Callithrix jacchus: one gene and its partners. The protein of the gene in region 3 interacts with the protein of the main gene of each other region in a pairwise test. Links are inferred from orthologs where the notes say so. Each region holds a gene or a part of one and is shown on either strand. Other genes may lie near its edges.

The links.
Region 1: the proteins of GRAMD2B (region 3) and CD207 interact in binary tests that used the Homo sapiens proteins (3 or more experiments, as listed by UniProt). The two-hybrid records come from large-scale screens. The link is inferred for Callithrix jacchus from reciprocal best matches to the Homo sapiens genes GRAMD2B and CD207.
Region 2: the proteins of GRAMD2B (region 3) and TMEM43 interact in binary tests that used the Homo sapiens proteins (3 or more experiments, as listed by UniProt). The two-hybrid records come from large-scale screens. The link is inferred for Callithrix jacchus from reciprocal best matches to the Homo sapiens genes GRAMD2B and TMEM43.

The regions. Positions count from the first base shown.
Region 1 is NC_133515.1:42,989,331-42,993,720, forward strand, and holds the end of CD207 (C-type lectin domain family 4 member K), read left to right. Parts: coding exon 1-116; intron 117-711; coding exon 712-863; intron 864-1,901; coding exon 1,902-2,020; intron 2,021-2,509; coding exon 2,510-2,660; 3' UTR 2,661-3,286; downstream 3,287-4,390. UniProt on the Homo sapiens protein: Calcium-dependent lectin displaying mannose-binding specificity. Induces the formation of Birbeck granules (BGs); is a potent regulator of membrane superimposition and zippering.
Region 2 is NC_133516.1:71,110,220-71,115,239, forward strand, and holds part of TMEM43 (transmembrane protein 43), read left to right. Parts: intron 1-1,709; coding exon 1,710-1,827; intron 1,828-5,020. UniProt on the Homo sapiens protein: May have an important role in maintaining nuclear envelope structure by organizing protein complexes at the inner nuclear membrane. Required for retaining emerin at the inner nuclear membrane.
Region 3 is NC_133503.1:82,702,565-82,707,584, reverse strand, and holds part of GRAMD2B (GRAM domain-containing protein 2B), read left to right. Parts: intron 1-2,038; coding exon 2,039-2,105; intron 2,106-2,815; coding exon 2,816-2,919; intron 2,920-5,020.

The DNA of each region.
Region 1 (4,390 bases), on a different chromosome or scaffold from region 3:
AAACACCCAAATCCCAGAGTTAAAAAGAGACCTAGAGAAAGCCAGTGCTTTAAATACAAAGATCCGGGAACTCCAGAGCAGTTTGGAGAATATGAGCAAGTTGCTCAAACGACAAAGTAAGTCACTCAGAAAATTACATTGAAACTGACCAGCGGCCCATGGGACCCTTACCTGTCCCAGACCTGAGACTATGGGGCTAGTGGGGTGGGGAGGAGATGGGGGGCAAGAGAGGGGCAGCCATGGGCTAGAAAGTTTAGGAGAGAAGGCTTTGGGTTGGGGAGCACTTAGGGGCTGTTAGGAAAAGAGACTAGGGTCCAGCTGGAGCTAGACCACACCAAAGTGCAGAATGTAAAAGCATTAGGAGATGTCCACCCTGGCCCATACCTGGTCATTTCCCATCAAGTTCCTTTCTAGAGTCTAGGGCCGCAGCCACTTGTCATCGCCAATGGAGAGTTGCTTCCCCTTCATGGGAAAGACATCCTTTGTCCATCTTATCACATTCTAACCTCTCCAGTCCCAGAGACTCTATTAGTCTCTGTCTGACTTTCAGGATTTGAAAGAGTATCCCCAGTCCCCTACACAAGGACCCAAGGACACCAGAGCACAGCTGCATTTGCTGCTGTCTCTGAGACTTCATTCAATTGCCCCCACCAAGCTAGCACCCCAAGAAAACAAGAATACCAGCGTTCACTTTTAGCTCTTGTTCTCTAGATGACATTCTACAGGTGGTTTCTCAAGGCTGGAATTTCTTCAGGGGAAACTTTTATTACTTTTCTCGCATCCCAAAGACCTGGTATAGTGCCCAGCAGTTCTGCATTTCCAGGAATTCACACCTGACCTCGGTGACCTCAGAGAGTGAGCAGGTGAGTGCTGTGCCTATGGGATCTGGGAAGGGGGTGTATAAGCATTGGGCCAGGGAGGATGGACAAGATTATGCTGGGCTAATAAAAATCCCCAAATATTGATGACCTAATGAAGAAGCATTATTTCTCACATACCATGTCCAATAAGGACTGTCAAGGGGGCTCTGGGCACTGTGGCTACTCAAGGACCCAGGCCGAAGGAGACTTCATTTTAACATGTTTCCACAATTGCTGGGGCAGGAAAAGGGAACTTGATGTATTGTGCAAAGCTTCGGCCCAGATTTAACTTACCTCATTTTTACTTACATTTCACTGGCCAAAAGTAAGTTATACAGTACTCCTGGATTCAAAGAGGGCAGAGAGGTGCTACTTTCCACATGCCCAGAAAAAAAGAGATATTCGTGAACAGCATTAATGAATCCTCATGACTCAAGAAGTCTCCTGCCTGGTGAGGCAGAAATTGCATGAGCCCTTTTCATCTGGGCAGTGGGATAGCAGAGCAGGTCAGAGCCTGGGCTCTGGAGTAGTTCTAGAGCCCTAACCTTGCCATCTATCCAGTCCTAGCAGCTTGGGTGGAATATGCAACTTTACTGGGCAAACTTCACTGTCCCTTACTTGATGAAACATGCATGGTGCTGGCACCTGCCTCAGAGAGGAAAGGAATGAATGCATATGGAGGACTCAGCACAGTGCCTTATGTGGACTCAGAGCTTGCTAAATTCAGGTGTTATAATCTGAACCATTCTCTTGGGGTCCATGCTCTGGCGTTCAGCTGAGGCCTTCTTGTACTTCAGCACCTGCTTCCTGAGTGGCAGAAAGGCTTGGGTCCTGAGCTTGTTAGCTGCAGGGCAGGGAAATATCATAATCTGGAAGATGAAATCTGAGCCCTGGGCAGGGCAAGAAGAGGCTTGAGAGAGGCCATTGTGTGCAGCACATCTGTGGGTCAGGGATGTCACTGAGCACAGGTGACAAACACCCAGAGATGATGATCAAGCTCCGGGTGTGGCCACACCTCTTCTTATCCTGTCTTTCCTACAGGAGTTTCTGTATAAGACAGCAGGGGGACGCATCTACTGGATTGGCCTGACTAAAGCAGGAATGGAAGGGGAGTGGTCCTGGGTGGATGACACGCCATTCAACAAGGTCCAAAGTGAGAGGTAAGGCTCTGGACCCCTCCCTGCCAGCCTGCGTTTCCCTGGCTATGGCCTGGGAAAGAAGAGAGTGGAGGTGATGCTCCCCACGAGACAGGGTTTCTGATTCTTCTCTGTCCTAGGGTGACAGGAGCATTGGAACCAAGATCTAGTGCAACCCTGTCACTAACTGGCTGTGGGACCTGGGCCCTCCATGCCCTCTGGGGTTTGGCAGCAAGGCCTTCTACCTGGCCAGCTTCAGAAGGGATTGTGTCATGAGTCTAGGTCTTCACATTGTGGGTTTGTATAGGGACTTGAGAGTGGTGAACTGGACTTGGGGCGTGAGTGAAAGCTTAGAGGCCTCACGAGTCCTCTTCCTCTTAGGCTTGGGTGCAGACATTTGCTGCCATTCCCTACAACTAAACCTGGGATTGAGTTAACTTATTTCTTCAGTGGATATAAGTTCTTCTTCATTTTCCAACTTTGTAAATCCATCTTTTTTCCCCCACTTGGTAGGTTCTGGATTCCAGGTGAGCCCAACAATTATGGAAACAATGAACACTGTGCCAATTTAAAGGCATCCTCGCTTCAGTCCTGGAATGATGCCCCATGTGACCAAACATTTCTTTTCATCTGTAAGCGACCCTACATTCCGTCAGAACCATGACAGGACAAGTTCCCAAGCTCACTCTTGGAGTTCCAGCGCTTGTCAAATATGAGGAAATGCCTCTTTCTTCCCCAGACTCCAGGATGACTTTGCACCTTAATTTTTCTTGCTTCAAAATTGTCCCACAGTGGCATTCTGGAGTCCGTCTGTCCTGGCTGCAAATTCTCCAACCCCATGGAGGCAGCTGGAACAGAAAGGAGGATTCAGGTTAAAGTGGGAGGGGTGGGTGGAGAGGATTTAGAACTTCCAATTGCTCTGCTGCTGTGCCATCTTTGAGCCTCACAGAGCTCCAAAGACCTAAGCCTGAGTTCCTGCCTCTCACCCTATGTGCCCTTGCCCTAGCTCCCTAGCTGGCTAGTTCCCTACCATCTGGACCAGCTGCACTCCACTCAGTTTTCTACTTAATAGGTTTCATTTCTCTGCCAGCCTGGGAAGCTATTCAAACAAGCCAATCACATCCTCTCACAGGAACCCGAGGCACCTCATGCTTTTGTTACAGCGAGGCTGCCTCCCACAGCCCTGTTGGTTCACTCTGCTCCTGAGCGTGACCCCATGTGGCCCTGCATGGCTTGTGATGTCTTTCCTCACTGGACTCTATTTTGACTAGTAAACTGCTGTCAATCTCATCTGACCAGCGTCAAATGCGTGTTTTTGGCCATCTTGTCCTAAGCAGAGCAGGGGATCTCTCCCTCGCCAATGGAGGAAATGGGGGGTGACAAGAACAAGGCTGGTCAGGGATCTCTGGTTGGTTTTGGCCAAGCGATGAGCTGGGAAAATCAGACCATTTCTCTGGGAAAGAATTTGGAAATAACAAGGGGATGAGGCTGTTGACAGAAGGAAGTTGAGTTGGAAGGCCCTGAGTTAGAGAAAGGCTGGAGGGGCCGTCATGGGGCACTGGAGGAAACTAACAATGAGCAAAAGCTAAGAGGCCGAGGAAAGATGTGAATTAGGTCAGGCGCAGTGGTTCATGCCTGCAATCCCAGCACTTTGGGAGGCCAAGGTGGGTGGATCACCTGAGGCCAGGAGTTTGAGACCAGCCTTGCCGACATGATGAAACCCCTGTCTCTACTAAAAATACAAAAATTAGCTGGGTGTGGTGGTGGGTGCCTGTTATTCTAGCTACTTGGGAGGCCAAGGGAGAAGAATCTCTTTAACCTGGGAGGCAGAAGTTGCAGTGAGCCGAGATCGCATCATTGCATTCTAGCCGGCTGATAGAGCGAGACTCCATCTCAAGTAAAGAGAAGTGACAACAGAGGATTTAGCTGGCAGAGAAAAGAGAACAACTCAAAGGAGTAGTACTGGGGGTCCTGGAGGGCAGGCTGAGGGGCTCCGGCTGCTCACATTCCCTGTGCTGCCTCAGATCCTCCCAGCCCTTCTGATCCTCCTGGTTTCTGTGCATGGAGATCTTACAAGACCTGTGCCCCTGACCCCTCCCGTTGCTTTCTCTAGAAACTGAAAAAGCCTGAGTCAGTGAGGATGTGTCTTTATCTGGAGTCTGTGCCCCAGCCTGTATCCGGCAAGTGCAGCATTGCCTTGGCTTCCTCCTTTGAGGAAGCTGGACACCTGCCACTTTGCTTTGTCATGTGCCCTTGGCTCCCTTCCCGACTGTATGCATGTCTTGCTTCTCCAGGGAGTTGCTACATGGGCACCTGCACTTCTGCTGGCAGTGTGGACTCGCCCAGGAAGCCCCACCATTGACAGTGCTCTAGTCCTGTCTCAAGCAGGTCTCC
Region 2 (5,020 bases), on a different chromosome or scaffold from region 3:
ATGTTTTAAGTACTATTGGTAGTAGTCTCATCATCCCTAACTGGTTTGGTTGTTGAGGAATATTCATTCATTCAGCAATTTTCATTAAGTACCAAGTACTTCACAGACATGCCCCCTGCTCTTGGAAATGTAGCATTTATTTAACTGCTTGAGGTGAGACCCTGGGCACATGACTTATCCTCTCAGAGCCTCAGTTTCCTCATCTGTAAAATGGAGATAAGTATTCCTACCTCACTGAGTGATTCTGAGGATTTAATAAGATGATACTTGTAAAACACTTAGGAGAGTATCAGATAAATGGCGAACGTCAGTGTGACCTGTTTTTATTGTTACGGACTCTAAGAGAGGGCCCAATTCAGATCAGGGGGTCAGGGAAAGCCCTCTGAAGAAATGGTGTTGAAGCCAAGCTGGAAGAGTGTGCAGGAAGCCGGCCAGGCATGACTGCGGGCAATTACTGTATGTAGGCAGAGAAAACCCACAGGCAGACACCCAAGGGCAAAGGACACTCGACCTGGGCTGGGGACAGCAGCCAGCGGGGTCAGGCTACTGGCGGCAGGGTTAGTGGTAGCAGGGCTCTGGCAGGTGGCTTCATGGAGAGCACGGAGTGGGTGTTTGAAGCAGGACCAGTGAGGCTCCTGTGGGCGGACAGTGGCAAGAGACTCGGGAATATGCGACCTGGACTGGATGGGGGTGGTGGGGGAGGAGCAGGCCACATCTTTTCCCCAGATGTGAGTGGGTGGGTGTGCCATATGCTGAGATAGAGAAGGTTCCAGTGTCAGTGCTAGACAGGCCGAGACATCAAGTGGAAATGTCGAGGAGGTGGTGGGAGCTGCAGGGCTGTGAGGCCCAGAAGGCCAGAGCTGCAGCTTTAAATTGGAGGGTCACGGCATATGGGGGCCAAGCAGGCAGATGGGATGTCTGGGGAAAGAGTATGGACTGAAACAGCTAAAGAAATGCAGCATTTAGGCTGAGTGTGGTGGCTCATACCTGTAATCCTAGCACTTATGGAGACTGAGGTGGGTGGATCACCTGAGGTCAGGAGTTTGAGACCAGCTTGACCATTATGGAGAAACTCCATCTCTACTAAAAAATACAAAAAAAGGTAAAATTAGCTGGGCATGGTGGTGCATGCCTTATAATCCCAGCTACTCGGGAGGCTGAGTCAGAATTGCTTGAACCCAGGAGACAGGTTGCGATGAGCTGAGATTGCACCATTGCACTCCAGGCTGGCTGGGCAACAAGAGCAAAACTCCATCTCAAAAATAAAAAAAAGAATTGCAGTATCTAACGGACAGGAAGAGGGGCATGGACAGTGATGGAACTTGAGAAGGGGGGTGCAGTGTCCCCAAGCTATGTGGAAAGGGTCTGAGATTAAACACATACACAGTGCAGGCATGCTTAAACCTACTCAGGGGTGGTGGGGAGGGTCCCGCTCATTCCAGGTGAGACTGGGCTGAGGGCTCCAGGCATTGGCAGGCTCTGAGCTGAGGAGGGCCCGTACCATCCACAGAGATCTCATGCCTTGCCCTGTGCTTTGCTAGCTGGGCAGAAAGACTTAGCCCTGTAGGAGGCTTGCCCCACCTCCCTCTGACCTGTTCAGAAATGGTCAACAGCTCCAGGTTGCCATAGCCCCCTCAGCACCTGCCCTGCTGACTGTGTAGGCTGCTGCCCCCCTCAGTGTCCTGACCTATCCCCACCTTGTCCTACAGGAGGTATTTCATAGAGAACTAAAGAGCAACTCCATGAAGACCTGGGGCCTGCGGGCGGCCGGCTGGATGGCCATGTTCATGGGCCTCAACCTCATGACTCGGATCCTCTACACCCTGGGTAAATGTCGGGGCGGGTCTCTGCCCTTCCTCTTACAGTCTCCTCTGCCTGTTGCATCATCTCAGCCCTTCCAGCCTGATGGGATGGCCCCTGTGCAGAGACAAGGCAGTTGGCCAATCTCTGTGTCCCTGCTCCATAGCCTTGGGATGAGGGAGCAGAGGAAGGCAAGTGTGAGGCCAGGAGCTGCCAAGGGCAAGGCTGGGTGGGGCCGACTCTGGGGCACTGGTCTTGCTCCATTGCCTGAAGATCTGTCCATCCACTCGGCTTGCTCATTTGCTCATCATTCCTTTGCTCCACAATTGAATATCACATGGGACCCAGCCAGACCTGCTTGAAATCTGTCACATCCAAGCTCTGGATGCTTGGCCATTCCCTTTCCACCTCAGCTTCAGTCCCCTCACCCCTCACATGCAGAGTTTTATGAAATGTTTGGCAAATAGGAAACACCCAAAACTATCATGTTTCCTTCCTTACTCCAAAACCTGGGCTAGATTTGGACAGCCAGCAAGTCTGGAGGATGAAGGAGAGTTCTGGGCCGTTCTCCTAGCCTGAGGTTGGTGCCAGCAAGCCCAATAGGAGCCCTGTGTCCTAGAGTGGTTGGAGATCTGAGTGCCCAGGGTGGCTGAGTATGTTCTGGGCCTGGGAGGTTGTGGTTCCACATAGAACTCTCCCTCCAAGCCTTTCCCTGGTGTGTGTCTCTTCCAATTACATGACTGGGTCCAGCCTTCTCTGGGTGCCAACAGAAACCTCTCCCCCATTCAGCAGGTACAAGTTGGAAGAGGTCTGGCAGCACATCTTGGGCTGTCAGAGCTTGTGGGGACCACCACCTTTGTTTACAGTTCAGAAAACAGGGCTTGGAAGGAAAGGACTCTCCCTGAGGCTTTCTTTGGACAGCCGAATTGTGCTCAGAAAGACAAGTGACATGGTGGGCACATTAGGGAGAGATCAGCATTTATTTATTTATTATTATTATTTTTTAAATTTTTTATTGGATTTTAGGTTTTGGGGTACATGAGCAGAGCATGTAAGACAGTTGCGTAGGAACACACATGGCAGTGTGCTTTTCTTTCCTTCTCCCCTTCACCCACATTTGGCATTTCTCCCCAGGCTTTCCCTCCCCACCTCCCCCTCCCACTGGCCCTCCCCTTTTCCCCCCAATAGACCCCAGTGTTTAGTACTCCCCTTTCTGTGTCCATGTGTTCTCATTTTTCATCACCCACCTATGAGTGAGAATATGCGGTGTTTCATTTTCTGTTCTTGTGTCAGTTTGCTGAGGATGACTTTCTCCAGATTCATCCATGTCCCTACAAACGACACAAACTCATCATTTCTGATTGCTGCATAATATTCCATGGTGTATATGTGCCACATTTTTCCAATCCAGTCTATTATCAATGGGCATTTTGGTTGATTCCAGGTCTTTGCTATTGTAAACAGTGCTGCAATGAACATTCGTGTACATGTGTCCTTATAGTAGAACGATTTATAGTCTTTTGGATATATACCCAGTAATGGGATGGCTGGGTCAAATGGAGTTTCTATTTCTAAGGCCTTGAGGAATCGCCACATTGTCTTCCACAATGGTTGAACTAATTTACACTCCCACCAACAGTGTAAAAGTGTTCCTTTTTCTCCACATCCTCTCTAGCATCTGTTGTCTCCAGATTTTTTAATGATCGCCATTCTAACTGGCGTGAGATGGTATCTCAATGTGGTTTTGATTTGCATCTCTCTGATGACCAGTGACGATGAGCATTTTTTCATATGATGGTTGGCCTCATATATGTCTTCTTTCGTAAAGTGTCTGTTCATATCCTTTGCCCACTTTTGAATGGGCTTGTTTGTTTTTTTCCTGTAAATCCGTTTGACTTCTTTGTAAATTCTGGATATCAGCCCTTTGTCAGATGGGTAAACTGCAAAAATTTTTTCCCATTCTGTTGGTTGCCGATCCACTCTAGTGACTGTTTCTTTTGCCGCGCAGAAGCTGTGGAGTTTCATCAGGTCCCATTTGTCTATTTTGGCTTTTGTTGCCAATGCTTTTGGTGTTTTGTTCGTGAAGTCCTTGCCTACTCCTGTGTCCTGGATAGTTTTGCCTAGATTTCCTTCTAGGGTTTTTATTGTGCCAGGTCTTATGTTTAAGTCTTTAATCCATCTGGAGTTAATTTTAGTGTAAGGTGTCAGGAAGGGGTCCAGTTTCTGCTTTCTGCACATGGCTAGCCAGTTTTCCCAACACCATTTGTTAAACAGGGAATCCTTTCCCCCTTGCTTGTTTTTGTCAGGTTTATCAAAGATTGTATAGTTGTAGATATGTTGTGTTGCCTCCGGTGCCTCTGTTTTGTTCCATTGGTCTATATCTCTGTTTTGGTACCAGTACCATGCTGTTTTGATTACTGTAGCCTTGTAGTATAGTTTGAAATCCGGTAGTGTGATGCCCCCCGCTGTGTTCTTTTTGCTTAGAATTGACTTGGCTATGCGGGCTCTCTTTTGGTTCCATATGAAGTTCATGGTGGTTTTTTCCAGTTCTGTGAAGAAAGTCAATGGTAGCTTGATGGGGATAGCGTTGATTCTGTAAATTACTTTGGGCAGTATAGCCATTTTCACGATATTAATTCTTCCTAACCATGAACATGGAATGTTTCTCCATCTGCTTGTGTCCTCTCTGATTTCGTTGAGCAGTGGTTTGTAGTTCTCCTTGAAGAGGTCCCTTACGTTCCTTGTGAGTTGTATTCCAAGGTATTTTATTCTTTTTGTAGCAATTGTGAATGGCAGTTCATTCGTGATTTGGCTTTCTTTAAGTCTGTTATTGGTGTAGACGAATGCTTGTGATTTTTGCACATTGATTTTATATCCTGAGACTTTGCTGAAGTTGCTTATCAGTTTCAGGAGATTTTGGGCTGAGGTGATGGGGTCTTCTAGGTATACTATCATGTCGTCTGCAAATAGAGACAATTTGGCTTCCACCTTTCCTATTTGAATACCCTTTATTTCTTTTTCTTGCCTGATTGCTCTGGCTAGAACTTCCAGAACTATATTGAATAGGAGTGGTGAAAGAGGGCATCCTTGTCTAGTGCCAGATTTCAAAGGGAATGCTTCCAGTTTTTGCCCATTCAGTATGATATTGGCTGTTGGTTTGTCATAAATAGCTTTTATTACTTTGAGATACGTTCCATCGATACCGAGTTTATTGAGGGTT
Region 3 (5,020 bases):
AATCAAGAGTCACATACTGCATGTATTTGCTATCTTTTCTTTTTCTTTTTTCTTTTTTTTTTATTCCAGACAGTCTTGCTCTTTTTACCACAATTTCAGCTCACTGCAACCTCCACCTCCCATGTTCAAGTGATTCTCATATGCCTCACCCACCCGAGTTGCTGGGATTACAGAGGTGAAACCAGCACACCCAGCTAATTTTTGTATTTTTAGTACAGATAGGGTGTCGCCATCTTGGCCAGGCCTGTCTCAAACCCCTGGCCTCAGGCGATCTGCCTACCTCGGTGTCCCAAAGTGCTGAGATTACAAGCCTGTGATAAGTAATCTCAGATTACTTTTCTGGATATCACACTCAGCCCTGCTATGTCCCTTTTAATTCAGATCAGCCCCATTACCTTTTTGGCCCTTTATTACACTGACATTTTTGAATAGTTTATGGGCTAGTATATTTTAAATCAAGTGTGCATCCATTGCTCACTGTAGCCATTAAAAACAAAAGCTCAGTGAAGCCCCACAGAACACCTAGCTTTAATCAAGGTATCTTTCTTTAAGGTGTTTATCTATAAAATAGCTGACTTGCTGGGACCATCTATCATCTTGATGACCTGGTCTATAGTTCTTTATGGCAAAATACGGCCAGTTTTGCCATTGAGACCACTCTTGGTTTGAATAATAAGGCATCCAGGACCTCCTACCCATTCTCCTTATAAGAATTTTTTCTTGAGGCCGAGCATGGTGGCTCATGCCTGTAATCCCAGCACTTTGGGAGGCCAAGACAGGCAGATCACCTGAGGTCGGGAGTTTGAGACCAGCCTGACCAACATGGAGAAACCCCATCTCTACTAAAAATACAAAATTAGCAAGCTGTGGTGGCGCATACCTGTAATTCCAGCTGCTCAGGAGGCTGAGGCAGGAGAATTGCTTGAACTTGGGAGGCAGAGGTTGCAATGAGCTGAGATCACACCATTGTATTCCAGCCTGGACAACGAGAGCAAAACTCCCTTTGAAAAAAAAAAAAAAAGAATTTTCCTTCAGAAGCATCCTGTGAGACAGATTGAGTCTGTGGAGGGAATACCCAGTTCTACCCCATAACACACTGTAGCCTTGAACTCCTGGGCTCAAGAGAGATCCTACCTCAGCCTCCTGAGTAGCTAGGACTGTAGGCACAAGCCATCATGTTCAGCTAAAAGTTCTACCTCTTAATAGCTGTATGGTGCAGGTGAAAGTGTTTTACAAGCTGTGAATTGCTGGCTATCCATTGTTATTGTCACAGTTGTGAAAACAGATCCCTTGAAGATGAAGTGATTTGCAACATTTCACAGTCTTGGTCCGCCTGCTGCCCTGGAGAGTGAAATCTTCGTATGAAATCCTACTTGTCTTGACAGTAGCCTACTGTATCCTACTCCTGTCACTGGCTAGGGAAATGCCTTTACAAAATGATACAGTAGGAAGAGTGGCCATATGTTGCCTTAGACTATAGGTCCTTTAGGTATATTATCCCATTTAAGCCTGAGGCAGGTACTGTTTTTGCTCTCTAGTACAGAAGAGGAAACCAAGACCCAGGGAGATGAAGTGACTAAGCCATGGTCACACACCAAGAAGTAAAGCCACTACAGCCAAGACTTCAACTCAGCCTTACGTGATTGCAAAGCTTTTAACCACTGTACTCTTCTGAGAGTACTTACTGGGACCTTTAGGACCTGGGATTCAGTACCTTCCCTAATGAGACTCCTTAGAATTTCATCCCATTTCTCATCAGGGACATCCTTGTCCAGCCCTGTTACCTTGGCAGTAGGCTGACCAGCAGCTGCATCATTATATCCAACCAGCAAAGCGTTAAACTTGTTAGAAAATGAAAGTTGTATGCCCTAATTTTCACTATGTTTTCCTGAAGGCTTGTGTCAGAGACTGTAAGATCAGTGAGAAGGAATTCCTAAAGTTACTATTAAGGGAGGGGAAATTTGTTATTGAAGCTAAAATTTGTGATGTTCCACAAGAAAATGAGAGTAGTGATGCTTGTCTTTTGTTCTCATTGTAGTACAAGGCCAATATGCACTTTCACAAGTTGTTTCTTAATGTTCCAACGGAGGAACCACTGAGGCAAAGTAAGTTCTGACGTTTGACTTTTTTAGCTACATATTTGAAAAGATGATAATTAGTTCTGGGGAAGAAAGAGAGCATAGTGTACGGACTGAGTCACCCAGGGGATCAGGTTTCTGAAAGTCATGACATAACAATAACACCAGCTTCAGTCAGCTTTCATCAGGCAGCGTGAAAAGATCAGAGAGGAGAAAGAGAAACAGTTCTCCATGGGGTATGGAGTCACCCAAGATGGTTCCATGATACCCTTCCCTTCTTTATTTATTGCTGAAATACACATGTTAGATTGCTTTAAGATTTAGAATAACAAGCCTGGGGCAACAGAGGTCACTAGAAGAAGGCTAAAAGAAAACTCACATCCTTAGACATGGACAGACATGTGCTGATGCCACTGTGAAGGGTGTGATGGTCACCTAAATATCTTGCCCAGTATGCAAGTTAAACACACCTAATGGGCTCTGCAGTGGTTCCTCAAGGGGCCCGACGTTCCATTCTAGTCTCTCTTGATGTGCAAAAGTTAAGGCAAGATGCTGGGTTCCTGCCATGACCTGGTCGCCATAGCTTTCTTCCCATAAAGAAGACTGAAGAAGAGGCAATAGAACTTTTGAGTATGAATATATTATCTCTGCCCATCCTTGAGTCACTAAAATATATACACAGTTTTAATTTTAAATGGAAATTCTAAATGATGCTATATCTCTGTATATTCTCCTAGGCTTTACCTGTGCACTACAGAAAGAAATACTATACCAAGGAAAGCTCTTTGTATCAGAAAACTGGATTTGTTTTCATTCCAAGGTCTTTGGAAAAGACACAAAGGTTGGTATAATTAAAAAAAAAAAAAAGAAGAAGAAGAACACTAACCCTATACTTTTATTGGATATGGTAAATATTAATTGTCTTAAATTTAGCTATATTTATAGATATTTATATCATGGTTATTCTGTTTTTATGCCAAGTTTCCTTTGTTTTAGTTCCAAATACTACAGGTTCTAAATGCTTCCAGATGACACTAATTTTCCTTTTTTCTCTAAACTTTCTCCCTCCTTTCCTTATACACATATACCCATATATGAGGTATACGTGTATAAATAAAGGAGGGAGAAAGTTTATATCTCACCCATAACGATACCCTAAATCCTTTTTACTAAGATGTCACCAGGGAACACTCAAAGTTGTTTCTATGGAGGGTGTGCCATGATTTTCAAAGGTATACATTTAAACTACAATGATTTCTTTTAAGAAACATCCATTTTTGTACCACATTTATACCAGTTACCACCAGCGATGTCTAGGGCAGAAGGCGTATAAATAAGCTACTTTTTAGCGTTTCCGCCGTACCCTCCCTGGCAAAAAATAAGCAGGAAGTAGAGCAGTTAAGGCCTAGCCTGGGAAGTTAGATACCCTCAATCCCAAGTGGACTCTGATATCACAGCTTTTCATTATTATTAAACACAGATTTGGGGAAGCAGAGACACATGACACCCTGAGGCATTAAGGAGAACAGCCTAAAGGAATTGGTACTGCCCTCTAAACTGGGGACCATGGGACTGTGGCCTGTGAAGGAAAGATAATTCTATCCCACTGACTTTTTTTTTTTACTTTTGAGCTATGATGTCACATCACAGTTCATTCAGGCCTCCAGAATAAGGAGTCCGAGAAACACCCTCTTGGGTTTGCATGACCTCAATGAGTTGTCAATCATTCTGATTCGTGGTTATGAAGAAGCAACTTTCATATTCATGAAGAAGCTGAATAAACTTTTTGTTTTGAGTGGTAGATGTGCTTTATTTAAATATTCTCTCTAAAACCACTGGCAGCAATCACATAAAGACCATTTTGTTGGTGTTGGAGCTAGAGACTAGCATACTATTCTTTAGGTAAAACATCTTCTTTTTATATTGATTTTTATCATATAGAGTTATATTTAGATAAGCATTATTTGATTCACAGTATTATCTGAATCAGTATAATACAAAGCAATATGAAGCAGTGTTGTATATATTTCTACATTTCTGAATTAAAGGGCTTTTTCATGGAATGGGGAAGGGGATTGGGTAGTACCAATCAGTGTGATACACTTCTCAGAAATTCACAGAGAGCCAACATCTGTGAGCAGAGCAGCAGGGACTGAAGACACTGATGAACAAAGTGTTAGTCTTTGTTAAGGGATTGGGGAATTCACAAAGGCAGTCAGTGCGGTTTCAAGCTAATAGGATTCTAGCAATGGTTTTAAAGTTCTACTTCTACCTAAGAGAGAACTGATAAAAAGAAGTTAGAAGGAGTGACCCTGGTTTTTTGAAGACATGGATCCACCAAGAGTGCTTTTACAATGTGTAACCTACCGAGGCAGGAGATTGAAAATTAGCAGAGTGTGGGAATAAGAACCATGATAGTGACTCGTATCTTCCATCCCTTCTAAGAATGGTGTCAAAGGAGACTTGGGCTTCAGAGATGTTGCAGACTTTCCTCACTGCCAGTGGACTTCAGTCCAATGTGGTCCAATATGAGCTCAAGACACCCAAACAATTGCTCTACAATGGGAACTTTCTGATCAAGTTCCTTTTCTAAAGCAATTTGCCCTGGAAAAATGTTACCATTGCCCTGGAAAAATATTATCATTCACTCTGGAACAATATGAATAAAATGTAGCCTTAATTTAATCAGGATCTTTTTAGTCAGCCTGTTGGTATTTTCATATGTTAGCAATATTAACATGCATGTATCACATTCTGTCTAGGCTCAAACTGATAAGTGATTTAAGCTTTATTTTACAAATGTTATCTAGTTGTACTTCTATACTCATGAAGCAATAGATTGAAAACTCCTTTTTAAGGGTGTTCCATGCCTTAGATGATGAAAAATCTAAATTTATAGCCCTTTGTCACTGCATGTTTGTATTGCTGCTCAGAAACTAAAT